Sus scrofa: one gene and its partners. Each later gene encodes a partner of the first gene's protein in a complex. Links are inferred from orthologs where the notes say so. Each region holds a gene or a part of one and is shown on either strand. Other genes may lie near its edges. The genes, in order: EPS15, AP2A2 and STON2.

What was found.
Region 2: the proteins of EPS15 (region 1) and AP2A2 are in contact, whole or in part, in a crystal structure (PDB 1KYU), measured with the Mus musculus proteins. The link is inferred for Sus scrofa from reciprocal best matches to the Homo sapiens genes EPS15 and AP2A2. Residues at the interface, in NP_031969.1 of Mus musculus: Asp629, Pro630, Phe631, Lys632; in XP_006536218.1 of Mus musculus: Phe442, Phe443, Trp446, Lys447, Asp487, Pro488, Val494, Arg511.
Region 3: the proteins of EPS15 (region 1) and STON2 are in contact, whole or in part, in an NMR structure (PDB 2JXC), measured with the Homo sapiens proteins. The link is inferred for Sus scrofa from reciprocal best matches to the Homo sapiens genes EPS15 and STON2. Residues at the interface, in NP_001972.1 of Homo sapiens: Leu139, Gly148, Lys152, Pro153, Val154, Leu155, Leu156, Asn157, Ser158, Lys159, Val162, Asp163, Leu165, Gly166, Arg167, Trp169, Glu170, His176, Gly178, Met189, Val192, Tyr193, Leu196, Glu197, Lys198; in NP_001353779.1 of Homo sapiens: Trp309, Arg310, Ala311, Thr312, Asn313, Pro314, Phe315, Glu318, Gln321, Asp322, Gln324, Pro325, Ser326, Ile328, Asn329, Pro330, Phe331, Phe334, Phe335, Glu337, Gln338, Glu339, Arg340.

What each region holds. Positions count from the first base shown.
Region 1 is NC_010448.4:160,786,252-160,789,896, forward strand, and holds part of EPS15 (epidermal growth factor receptor substrate 15), read left to right. Parts: intron 1-1,154; coding exon 1,155-1,345; intron 1,346-3,645. UniProt on the Homo sapiens protein: Involved in cell growth regulation. May be involved in the regulation of mitogenic signals and control of cell proliferation. Involved in the internalization of ligand-inducible receptors of the receptor tyrosine kinase (RTK) type, in particular EGFR.
Region 2 is NC_010444.4:625,127-628,662, forward strand, and holds the end of AP2A2 (AP-2 complex subunit alpha-2), read left to right. Parts: intron 1-1,541; coding exon 1,542-1,658; intron 1,659-1,741; coding exon 1,742-1,811; intron 1,812-1,902; coding exon 1,903-2,037; intron 2,038-2,595; coding exon 2,596-2,673; 3' UTR 2,674-2,972; downstream 2,973-3,536. UniProt on the Homo sapiens protein: Component of the adaptor protein complex 2 (AP-2). Adaptor protein complexes function in protein transport via transport vesicles in different membrane traffic pathways.
Region 3 is NC_010449.5:104,186,901-104,190,990, reverse strand, and holds the start of STON2 (stonin-2), read left to right. Parts: upstream 1-1,255; 5' UTR 1,256-1,422; intron 1,423-4,090. UniProt on the Homo sapiens protein: Adapter protein involved in endocytic machinery. Involved in the synaptic vesicle recycling. May facilitate clathrin-coated vesicle uncoating.

The DNA of each region.
Region 1 (3,645 bases):
GCGGGTTCGATCTCTGGCCTTGCTCAGTGGGTTAAGGATCCACCATTGCCGTGAACTGTGGTGTAGGTTGCAGACAGCAGCTCAGATCTGGCATCGCTGCGCCTCTGGCGTAGGCCAGCGGCTACAGATCCGATTAGACTCCTAGCCTGGGAACCTCCATGTGCCACGGGAAGTGGCCCTAGAAAAGGCAAAGAGAAAAAAAGAAGGGAAAAAAAAAAGATTTGAGTATATCTTAACACCTTTTCTTACTATCCTTTCTTCAGAAGTACTAAGTTTAAGTCTTTAAAATTAGAAACGTTGTTTGAAAATGGTGATGAATTCATGAGCAACAGTATGTTGTTGTTTGGTCAAAGATTAGTTTATCGACAACTACCAAGATTTAGGCCCTGGGCTTCCAAACATTCTCTTTATTCTTCAGTATGATTGCTTCTCAGCCTTTTGGCTAAGATCAAGTGTATTCTTCAGTTTGAAATATTCTAGATAGCAAGAAGTAGGTGTATTTTGCCAGGGTGGTTTTTAATATCATGCTCCCAAGTGTTGCATATAGATCCAGAGAAAAATCAGAAGAATAGTGGCATTTTTTAAAAAGATCATTTGGCCTTAGTACCACTAAAGGATACCTGTGTCAGGCAAAGGTTGTAATGGCAGAGGCCATTTCTGTCATTATTCTCTGTCATTTTCCTCTTGTTTTATCCTCTCCTCTCACTCTCCTTGGGAACATGCTACTTTGTGAACGAGAAGGATAACTCTCTGGGCAAGTAAGATTACTGGCCCATTGCCTCCCCCTTTACTATTTTTTCCATTTAGCTACATGAGCTGGAAAGAATGTACCAGGTTGTCTGTGACAATTTTGAGGACAGACTCTTGGTTGTGGCCATTTAAGACCATATTAAGAATATGTTTCAGGGAGTTCCCTGGTAGCCTAGTGATTAAGGACTTGGCATTGTCACTGCCGTGGCTTGGGTTCAGTCCCTGGCTCCAGAACGTCTACATGCCACAGGTGCAGCCAAAAAAAAAAAAAAAAAGTTTTTTAGTTATTAGGTACTGATTCCATTCCCCACCCCTAGTTCTTTAATGCTCCCTGTGTTCATGTTCTTGTGTGTTTGTGTTTGCCGTATTTTCCGGTTGAGTTAATTGTAATGATTTTGATCCAGGGAAAAGACCCATCAACAAATTGGATTCTTCTGATTCCTTTAAACTGAATGATCCATTTCAGCCTTTCCCAGGCAATGATAGCCCCAAAGAAAAAGATCCTGATATGTTTTGCGATCCATTCACTGCTTCTCCTACTACTGGCACTACCAATAAAGAGGCTGACCCAAGCAATTTTGCTAACTTCAGTGCTGTAAGTACTGCAAATGGGCTGATTGGGGAAAAATCTTTCCATTTTCAGTTCGAAGAGTTTTCAGAGATTATTCTGGAATCTACCAAATTTGCATTATTTCAGCTAAATTTACCAGCATATTAAAAATAATCTGTATTCTTCCCCCAATCAAAAAAAAAAAAAACCTGTTTGATTATTCTAAAAATACTTCTCTGCACAAATGATTTTAATAGTCTTAATTCCTGGAATATATTCCAGTTATTTTATAAAACCCTTCTCTTAGTCTTGGTAAACAATATAAATAAAATTCTGACAATTACCATTTAGCAAATTATTATGGATAATGAACCATTAAAGAGTCATTTGCTGTATGCCCTCTGGATGCATAATAGCAATAATGAGTTTGTGTATTTGTAACCATGTATGTGTGTTTATGTGTGAAGCCTTGATGATTTGTGGAAACCAGTCAGCAGCTTTTATTATATGAGGAGATAGGACCAGGAATACTTTGAACAGAAAGTAAAATTCTGGTTTCATGTAATAGTGTTTTTAAAAAGTAAATGTTGGTTTTATTTAAATAAATATGATAGTCAAGGTCTAAACAGTCTTTTATTTGAAGGGCACTTACTTACTAGCCTTCCGTATTTATTCTTCATCCTCCCAGAGCTGACTAAAATAGGCAGACCAGTAAAAATAATGAAAGGATGCTCTGATAAGGGCATAGGCCTCTAAGATCACAGAAATGGGGGAACCAACTGTGGTGTCAGTCCGTATTAAGCAATGACCTGTATTCCATCACTGTTTAGATTAAAAAACAAAATTTTTTCTTTTTAATACTATTCTTAGAGTAACTTTCACTTTCCCAGATGTTTTTCAGGGAAAATAACCTTCATTATCACTCTCTATAACAAAGCCATTTTCCTCTGCTTAACACCTTAAGCCCTTGAGATGATTTTGGAAATAAGAGATCTCAAGGCCAGGTGACTCTTGACCACAGTCTGCCTAATGCCTCCCCCTTCGCAGCATTGGGTCACCCAACCTGCAACCATTTCTAGTTAGAAAGGAGGTAGGCAGGAATCTGCATGCAGCTAAGGCAGACAGAACTAGGCTGGACTATCCAGCTTTTGAATCTGAACTCTTAAGTTTCAGTGGCTTCTTTTGAACATGAAGGAACAGGCTAGGAATCAGTATTTTGACTATTGGAAAATGAAGTGTTGGAATTATAATGATTTAACATTTGTTAGATGGAATTTAAATTGTTATAAGCAGAGTATCCAGAATTGCTACTCTTAGTATAATCCTCTTAAAAAAAAAAAAAAAACCTTCTGGTATTTGTGTGATATTAATATCTTAACTATTAAATATGGTTGGAATGAGTCTTGAATAATAGCTAAGGCATTTTGCTTATTTCATACTCCAGAATCTCAATGTAGTATAGCATTAAGCAGCTCATAATAAAGTATCTTCATTTTTTCATTATGAAAGATTTGTTAAGTGTTATAAGTTTCATAGGCCATCTAATGCCCTAGAATTAGGGAATGGTAACTAGGGAAAAAGCTACCATTTTCAAAAAGCCTGACAGTTTCTTTCATTTCATTTTATAGTACTAATGCTATTACAGTTTTCTTTTATCTGAGAGGACTTGAAACCAAGTAGCATTTAAGTTAGAATCTGCCATGATTGCTGTTTTGGATGAATAAAAATATTTCCTTGACCTAATAATTATCAGCATTATGATTTTATTTAGACGGGGTCAAAGAGTTTTCAATAGCCAGCCAAAATCTTTATAATACATTTTTTAAGATGATTAGATCCACATCTTGTTTAGTATACGTAGTCCTCTTATTTTGCATATAGCAAAATTTATGTATAGCATATTCTTTGCTTCATAGTTTTTTGTACCTGAAGGGCTGGGGTGAGGTAGGAAATCACCAGTGGGATTAAGTTGAAGATGATTTATCATGTGAAGATGCTCGCCGAAGTGGAAATAGTAACTATTTTATGTCAGATTAAAATGGCAGCCCTCTCCTCTTTTTAAATCTCCTAATCCACCTTAAGAACGTCTATGTTTTAAAATGATGTTTTAATATTTAGTTTTATAGACTCACTGTCTGTAGACTGCATTAATTTTTAAAATTAAATCATATTTTAGTAACTAATTAAACATGTTTCCAGAAAAAAAAAATTAGCAAGTAGCAAGACTATTTCCAGAGTCCTTTAGGTGAAACAAGGAGTTAAGTGTCCTTTTGTGAAGCCTCTTTTTCCTTCTTTTCTTTGTATTTGTACCACTCATGAAGCTGTTCATTTGTTTGTTCATTTGA
Region 2 (3,536 bases), on another chromosome or scaffold:
GGGTGTGGTCGGCGGGGGCTGCAGGGAGCCTGTGGGGGCGGGGGCGAGAGGGCGCCTAGGGTCCGGGGCGCCTCCTTCCAGGCCCAGTGCTTCCAGGTGAGACACCGAGGGGCCCACCCTGCGGGGCCGGGGGCTGGGGCAGGCGCAGGCCCGTGGGCAGCGGCCGGTCGGCTGCCCCGGGGCCAGCGCCTTGTCTGCGCACGCCTACGTGGTTGCCCTTCAAGCCTGCATGCTGTTTAGATGATTTTTTTTTTTTTGTCTTTTTGCCATTTTTAGGGCCGCTCCCGTGGCATATGGAGGTTCCCAGGCTAGGAGTTGAATCGGAGCTGTAGCTGCCGGCCTACGCCAGAGCCACAGCAACGCGGGATCCGAGCCGCGTCTGCGACCTACACCACAGCTCACAGCTTATGGCCACGCCGGATCCTTAACCCACTGAGCGAGGGCAGGGACCGAACCTGTAACCTCATGGTTCCTGGTCGGATTCGTTAACCACTGCGCCACGACGGGAACTCCTAGATGATTTTTTGTAGCTTGTCTGGTCCTGTCCTTTTTCTTTCTTGTTCTTTTTAGAGCCGCACCCACGGCACATGGAGGTTCCCAGGCTAGGGGTCCGATTGGAGCTGCGACTGCCGGCCTGCGCCACAGCCACAGCAACACGGGATCTGAGCCTCATCTGTGACATGCACCTCAGCTTCCGGCCACGCCGGATCCTTAACCCACTGAGTGAGGCCAGGGATCGAAGCTGCATACTGAGGGAGACAGCATCAGGTTCTTAACCCCTGAGCCACAACGGGAGCTCCGTGTTCTTGTCATGTAAGTGACGGCAGGAGAGTGTGTGAACAGCCTTCCCAGTTGGACGTTTGTAAGGTTTTGTGGGAAAGCATGTTCTCAAGCGTTACTACATAGCGACCTGAAGTTCACGCCCTAAACGCACAGCAATGAGAAGCTAGTGTGCTTGGCATAGTTCAGGGGACGAGGCGGGTGAGGCCTGTGTTTTATCCTGTAGTCTTACTCTTTTCTTATTTATTTTATTTTTTTTTGTCTTTTTGCGTTTTCTTGGGCCGCTCCCGCGGCATATGGAGGCTCCCAGGCTAGGGGTTGAATTGGAGCCATAGCCGTTGGCCTACACCAGAGCCACAGCCACACGGGATCCGAGCTGCGTCTGTGACCTGTACCACAGCTCACGGCAACGCTGCAGACTTAACCCACTGAGCAAGGCCAGGGATCGAACCCGCAACCTCATGGTTCCTAGTCGGGTTCGTTAACCACTGCGCCACGACGGGAACTCCTCAGACTCTTTTCTTGAGTCTTTTCCTGGGAAGAAGAAACCCACACCGCTTCAGCCGACGAGGAGCTGCCGGGTGTGCGCTGCCGGGGACGGGGAAGAGGTGGCGCTGTCCGCGGTCGGCGGGACGTCCCCGGGGCTCGGGGCGCCCTCCCAGAGCTCTCGGCCCTTGGTGCCCTGGGGGGGGGTGGGCGCTGCGGCCTGGAGGCTCCTGCGGCCACCTGCTCTCTGCATCTTGTCTCTTCGCTGCTCGCAGGTACGGGGGAACCTTTCAGAACGTGTCCGTTAAGCTGCCAATCACACTCAACAAATTTTTCCAGCCCACAGAGATGGCTTCTCAGGATTTCTTCCAACGTTGGAAGCAGCTGAGCAGGTGAGCGGCCGGCCCGTCCCCGGGCGGGTGGGGGGCCTCTGGGTCTCGGCCTCAGCTGGCGGCGCGGCCTCTGTCCCTCGCAGTCCCCAGCAGGAGGTGCAGAGCATCTTCCGAGCGAAGCACCCGATGGACACGGAGGTCACCAAAGCCAAGGTAGCGCCTCGCTGCGGACGGGCGGGGTCGGGCCCGGCCGGGGCCCTGCGGCTGCCGCCAGCTCCCCTCTGACCCTCAACTCTGCGCACAGATTATTGGCTTTGGCTCTGCACTCCTGGAGGACGTGGATCCGAACCCTGCAAACTTTGTGGGTGCAGGCATCATACACACCAAAACCAGCCAGATTGGGTGCCTGCTGCGTTTGGAGCCAAATCTGCAAGCCCAGGTTAAGCCCCTTGAGGAAACTGCTAAGTACACCCCAGTCGTTGTGCTTTGTTGTTGTTTTGGTTTGGGTTTTTTTGGTCTTTTTAGGGCCACAGCTGCGGCATCTGGAGGTCCCCAGGCGAGGGGTCGCATCGGAGCTACAGCTGCCGGCCTCCACCACAGCCACAACCACGCCAGGTCCGAGCCGCGTCTGTGACAACACCACAGCTCACGGCAACGCCGGGTCCTTAGCGCCCTGGGCGAGGCTAGGCATTGAACCCATGTCCTCCTGGATCCTAGTCGGGCTCGTTACCCCTGAGCCACGATGAGAACTCTGGATGCGTGTGGTCGTTTCACGGGAAGCCGCTGCGTTGCTTCCCAGCCAGGGCGCTGCCGCACAGCCCACCAGGCGTACGCGGAGGTCGGGTTGGTACACATGTGCCCAGGCCCTTGTTGTCCAGCCTGTAAACCAGCTCCCCAAAGCCAGCGTGGTGCCGCGTGGAACCAGGGCGTCTTCAGGCTGGCTGAGCAGGGGCTCTGAGGGCTCTGTTGCCCTGACCCGCCGTGCCCTCTGTTTCAGATGTACCGACTCACGCTGAGGACGAGCAGAGAGACGGTCTCGCAGAGGCTGTGCGAACTGCTCTCAGAACAGTTTTAATCAGCGAGGACAGAGGGTCGGGCCGGCTCTGCATTTTTCTTTGTCTCCACCCCGTCTTCGTGCTGCGAGTAAACACCTCGTCTAGTGTCGCAGCCCAGGCCCTCCCCGCTGCCGCGGCCCGTCCCCGACGGGGCGGGTGGGATCCTGTGCGGTTGACGAAGAGACCCCTCGGCCTGGACTCAGCCGGCTGCCAGCCAGGACGAGGGGCACGGATCCTGGGGTGGACTTTGATGGAAATCAGGACAGTTCTGGGGTTAAATCTACAAATTAAAGGGAAATTAGAAGTTTGAAAATGAGAATTTTGGAAGTTTTATTGAGGTGCTGCTGCTGTCCTGCTGAGAATTCATCTCTGAAGCCCTGAGCAGAGAGGCGGGCGCTCTGTCTGTGCTGGGCGGCGCCCGCCGGGTGTGGGAGACGTGGGAGAAGGGGCGGGGCTGCCGGGTCCACGTGCGGCCCAGGCCTTGTCCTCCGGGCTCTGGGGGTGAGCACAGTGCCGGGGCCTTGGGGGCCGAGGTCTGAACCCAGGCGTTCGCCCCACGCGCGTCTTCGAGGGCTGTCGAGGAGAGCGTGTGGCCTGGCTGGGTGGGACCCCGCCTCCTTTTCCCAGCACCCGCCCCCTAGAGGGGGGTTGTGCAACCGTCCGAGCCCCTTCATGTGCAGTGGGGAGGGGTCCTGGTGGCTCCAGACCACGTGTGTACCTAACCTCACGCTTCTCTGAGTCTCAGGCCCAGGACGGGCGCCGGTTAGTGACGGCGGGGCTCGCCGTGGGCCAGCGGAGCGGCTCCTCAAGCCGAGCCGGTCTCTTCCCTGTGCAGCGGCCTCACATGTGGGAGTCCCCGCTGCAGGCTGCGGAGCTGTGGACC
Region 3 (4,090 bases), on another chromosome or scaffold:
AAGCTCACTCTAGGGCAAAAACCAGGCTGTTTAAAATGCGTCAGTAGGGTCTTTTAACTTCTCTACCAAACTAAATTTCTCACTCATGGTTCTGTCAACAAAGGACAGTAGAACTAGGGGGAAACACCTGTAGGAACCCGGTTGCATACTTGCTGTCAAGAAGACATTACTGCAACCTAAGTCAAAGGTCCTAAAATAGAATCTGTACTGTTTTTTTCCTACTCATTGTCTGGATTTTTTTTGGGGGGGGGTCTTTTTATGAGTGGTAGAACAAAGTCCTAGGGGCATCCTAATTTATGGTGCTTGCTTTTATTCCTTAGAAAGATTCCGTGCAGGTGAGAGAAAATGTTGGGAGGCCTAAAGACTATGAAATGGAAGAAGAAATGGAAGATGGGATCAATTTTAATTCCCCACAATCCCTCTCCATTCTAACCTGTGCCCCTCCTTCACAATGTGAAGAGACTGAGTGTGTCTTCCAGGAGAAAATCTCCATATTCAGAGCTGACACCACGCGTCCACACGGGACACGTGGGTATCCTTATGACAGCTGTTTCCTGTGTTCCCGAATTAATACATGCAAAGTACTTGGAAAACTGGTAAATATTACGCGCCATGAAAACATTAGGGTTATTAATATTGTTGTTATTCAGCCTTATCTCCCTAGTTAGGCATAAATTCCTCATAAAACAACACTTGCCGTCTTTCTCGTTCTTAATAATTTATTAACGTGATTAGGACTTTGGATAAGTCGCTTACCCTTTGCAAGTTTTGGTTGGACCACAAAAGATCGTGTGTCAAGTACTATCTGAGTCTACAAATACAATTTGGCGCCCACTGTTTACAAGCCACTGCCCTGTGTCCTACGCCCTTTTTATAGTAAAAATATTAAATGAACGTGAAGTCAAAACCCTACGTAGGAGTGAGACGGGAGAAGCAATGATTTCCACGATCCAGCTTGGCACCGGGTGTGGGAGAGACTCCCAGACGATCCCCACTCCCTGCCATTGCCGTGCTACTCGCAGCGACGCTTTGCGCCCCGCTGGGTGCTGGACTCCACTCGCGCGGAGGAGCAGATCCCGGTCTCAGCGTCTGGATTCCGACCTCGGGGTTCAGCAGGGACACGAGGGTGCGGTGCAGGGTTGTCCAGAGCAGGTCCTGTCGGCTCCCGCCCCGCCTCACCGCCCAGGCTTCCTGCTGCCCAATCAGGGCGCGGCTCGGGCGTGATCTGCGACCAATCAGGAACGGCTGGAACGGTGCCGGGAGTCCGCGGGCGCAGAGCAAGCTCCGACTCCCGAGCCGGCGCGGGGCTGCCAGGAGCGCGGCTACAGCAGCGCAGCGGACGGGGAGCCTCGGACCAGCCCAGCTCGCTCTGCCGCGGCGACCTTCCAGCCGACGCTCGGGAAACAGCGGGCCGCGTCTCAGGTAACCTCGCCGGCGCCCCACAGGGGGAGGGCGAGCGTGCCCTGGGAGCGGGGCCCCGCAGGTGGAGCGGGCGGGGGTCGGGCCGGCCGCTAGGTCCTAGCGCCGCGGGTGCTGCCAGAGCCCCCAGAGCCCCGGGGCTAGCCTCGGCCGGAGCCCCCGGGAGACGCGTTTCCACCAGCCCCCGGCGTCCGGGTGTGAGAGGGAGCTAGGTGAGGCGGCGGGGGTGGATTGGGGAAGACAAGACACCTGCGACACCCGCACCCTTACACAGACTCTGCCTATGGGTGTCTTCCCTGAGAGCTGGGTCCCCGGCCGTCTTCATTGGCCCAAGTAGGGAGGCGACAACAGGTGTCCCTGCGGACCGTGCTTTTCTCCTCCACGCTCTGAGCCTGAAATCCCGGCTTTGGCGTTCTGCCCCACCTTCGGGGTGTTCGGAGACAGGACCCCAGCCTCGCCTCTCAGGCGCGCTGCCCGCTGGACAGCGCCCAGAGGCGTCTTGGACCCAGCGGACCCGGGCTTTGGATGGAGTTTCCTCCTCGCGTTGCCAAGCAATTTGCAGGACACCCGCCTCTCGATGAGACCATGAGAGTTTGTGTGGGGGCTGGGGGGTGGGGATGTGTGTAGGGGTGTGTGTGTGTGTGTGTGTGTGTGTTGCAGCCTCCACTAAAAGGGCTGTGAGTGAATCATTAACTGTGGCCTCTGCCTGTCTCTTAGGCAGGGCCTGACTCTTCTAATCTGTAAAGTGAGGGCAATGCTTTTACCTGCCTGATAGCGTTGTTTTGAGAATTAAATGAGCCAATGCTGAAAAACACTGAGGACGGTGCTAAATACTCAGTAAATGCTGGCTCTTACTATTTATTCTTCGGAGTGGATGGTCTTTTAAGAAGACATGTCCAAACTGGACCAGTGACTGTTTGGAGCTCTGAACAGCTTTTTACACTTAAAGCAATATTAATGTTACTGGGCGGTATCATTTAAAGGTACAAAATCCTGGGGATTTTGAGGGATTAAAAAAAAAAAAACTGCTTCATTGGAATGGTGAGAGAGATAAATGGATTCCAATAGAAACTGAGAAAACTCTGTAGCCCTTGAGAAAATTGGTATGAATATTATGTAAAAAGTATATCATGGTGCTTTATTGAATCTCACTAGTGTGGCTGATTTGGGGGTAAATTTTGAAGGTTCTTATAACTCCTACTCCTCCCTTAAACAAGTAGAGAGTGGAGAACAAGGGAGAGAGAGAGAGAAAGAAGAAAAACAAAAAGTCCCACCACAAAACAAAATACAGGCAGCTCATAGAAACCTAAAATTGCAGTTGCCACTTCAGGTGATTTTTTTTCCTGTTTCTGACCCGGGTGGTCTGGTTCAGTTCTTTGTCACCGTGTCACTTAATTGAAGAGTTAAGTAAACGCTTAGCCCCAAGAATTTGTCTTTTGAAAATCTAGAATATCATTAAGTATCAGACTTGCTTGGATTTCTGAGCCCTCTGCTACTTGCTTCCTACCCCCTATCAAGCCCCAAAGGACCTTCCCAAAGATTCTCAAGAGTAATGTTAGTGGGGAACCACCTGTCTCCCACCACATTACCTCCATAGCCTGGGACCTGGGGAAAGGGCACAGGCAGAATGTCCTGGTTCTCCTAGGGTCTCCAGCACACTTGCCAGAGCCTTAAAATAAATACTTGCCCTTAGAGAAAGTGATTATCATCTCAGAGGGAAAGAAGCGCACTTCCAGATGCAAATCTTTCAAGTGTCAAATTAATTCGCCAGCCCTTTCAGTTGTTGATAAGGAGACCTACTCTTTCCACCTGAGTGGGAGGAGCTGAAGCTTGACGGTGGAGGAGGGAGAGAGCCACGTGTGGCAGGGGAAAGACTGCTGAGTTCAGAGCCAGACCCGCACCTGGTGAGAACTCTCTCTCAGTAACTGATGGCTGGGAAACTTGGACAAGTTGCTTTGCTTTTCTGAGCCAGAGTCTCTCACGTTGTAAAATGAGGACTCAGATTTTTTTTGGAGAAGTTGTTCCAAGGAGGGCGCTAATGGATAGGAAGGCTCTAGCACCTTTCCAAGGATGTAGGTATAGATCTGTAGCATACAGAGGAGGTCTTACAAGGTGAGAGTGACCACTTACACCTGGGAAAGAAAGTAGGGCTTGACGGAGGGCATGCAGCTGAGCTGAGAGTAGAATGATGAGCAGTTCTCTCATGTAGACCCAGTTGAGGTGGGATTGGAAGGAAGAGTAGAGCAGAGGGGGGAGAATTCCAAACAGAGAGAATATGAGATATCAGAAGTGTTGTAATAGTCATCTTAAGCAAAATAAACAGACATCCCTTAAATCTCAGTGGCTTTCAACCACCAAGAGTTATTTCTCACACATGCTGCATGTCCAGTGTAGGTCACTCTTGGTTCTGCTTATCTGACTCCATTTGGGGACCCATTATGGCTTAAGAAACAGCCTCTTTCTGGGACAATATTCATCTTGTTTATGGGAAAGGGAAAAAAGAGAACATAACAGAACAAAACTATTATGGCACTTAACATCTGCTTGGAACTGGCAGATGTCACTAGCTCTCATGTTTTTGGCCAAGGTGAGTCATGTGGCCAAAGCTGATGTCAGCGGTATGGGAAAGTATAAGCCTCCTGCAGAAGTGAGGCATGGCTGATTAGGAGGG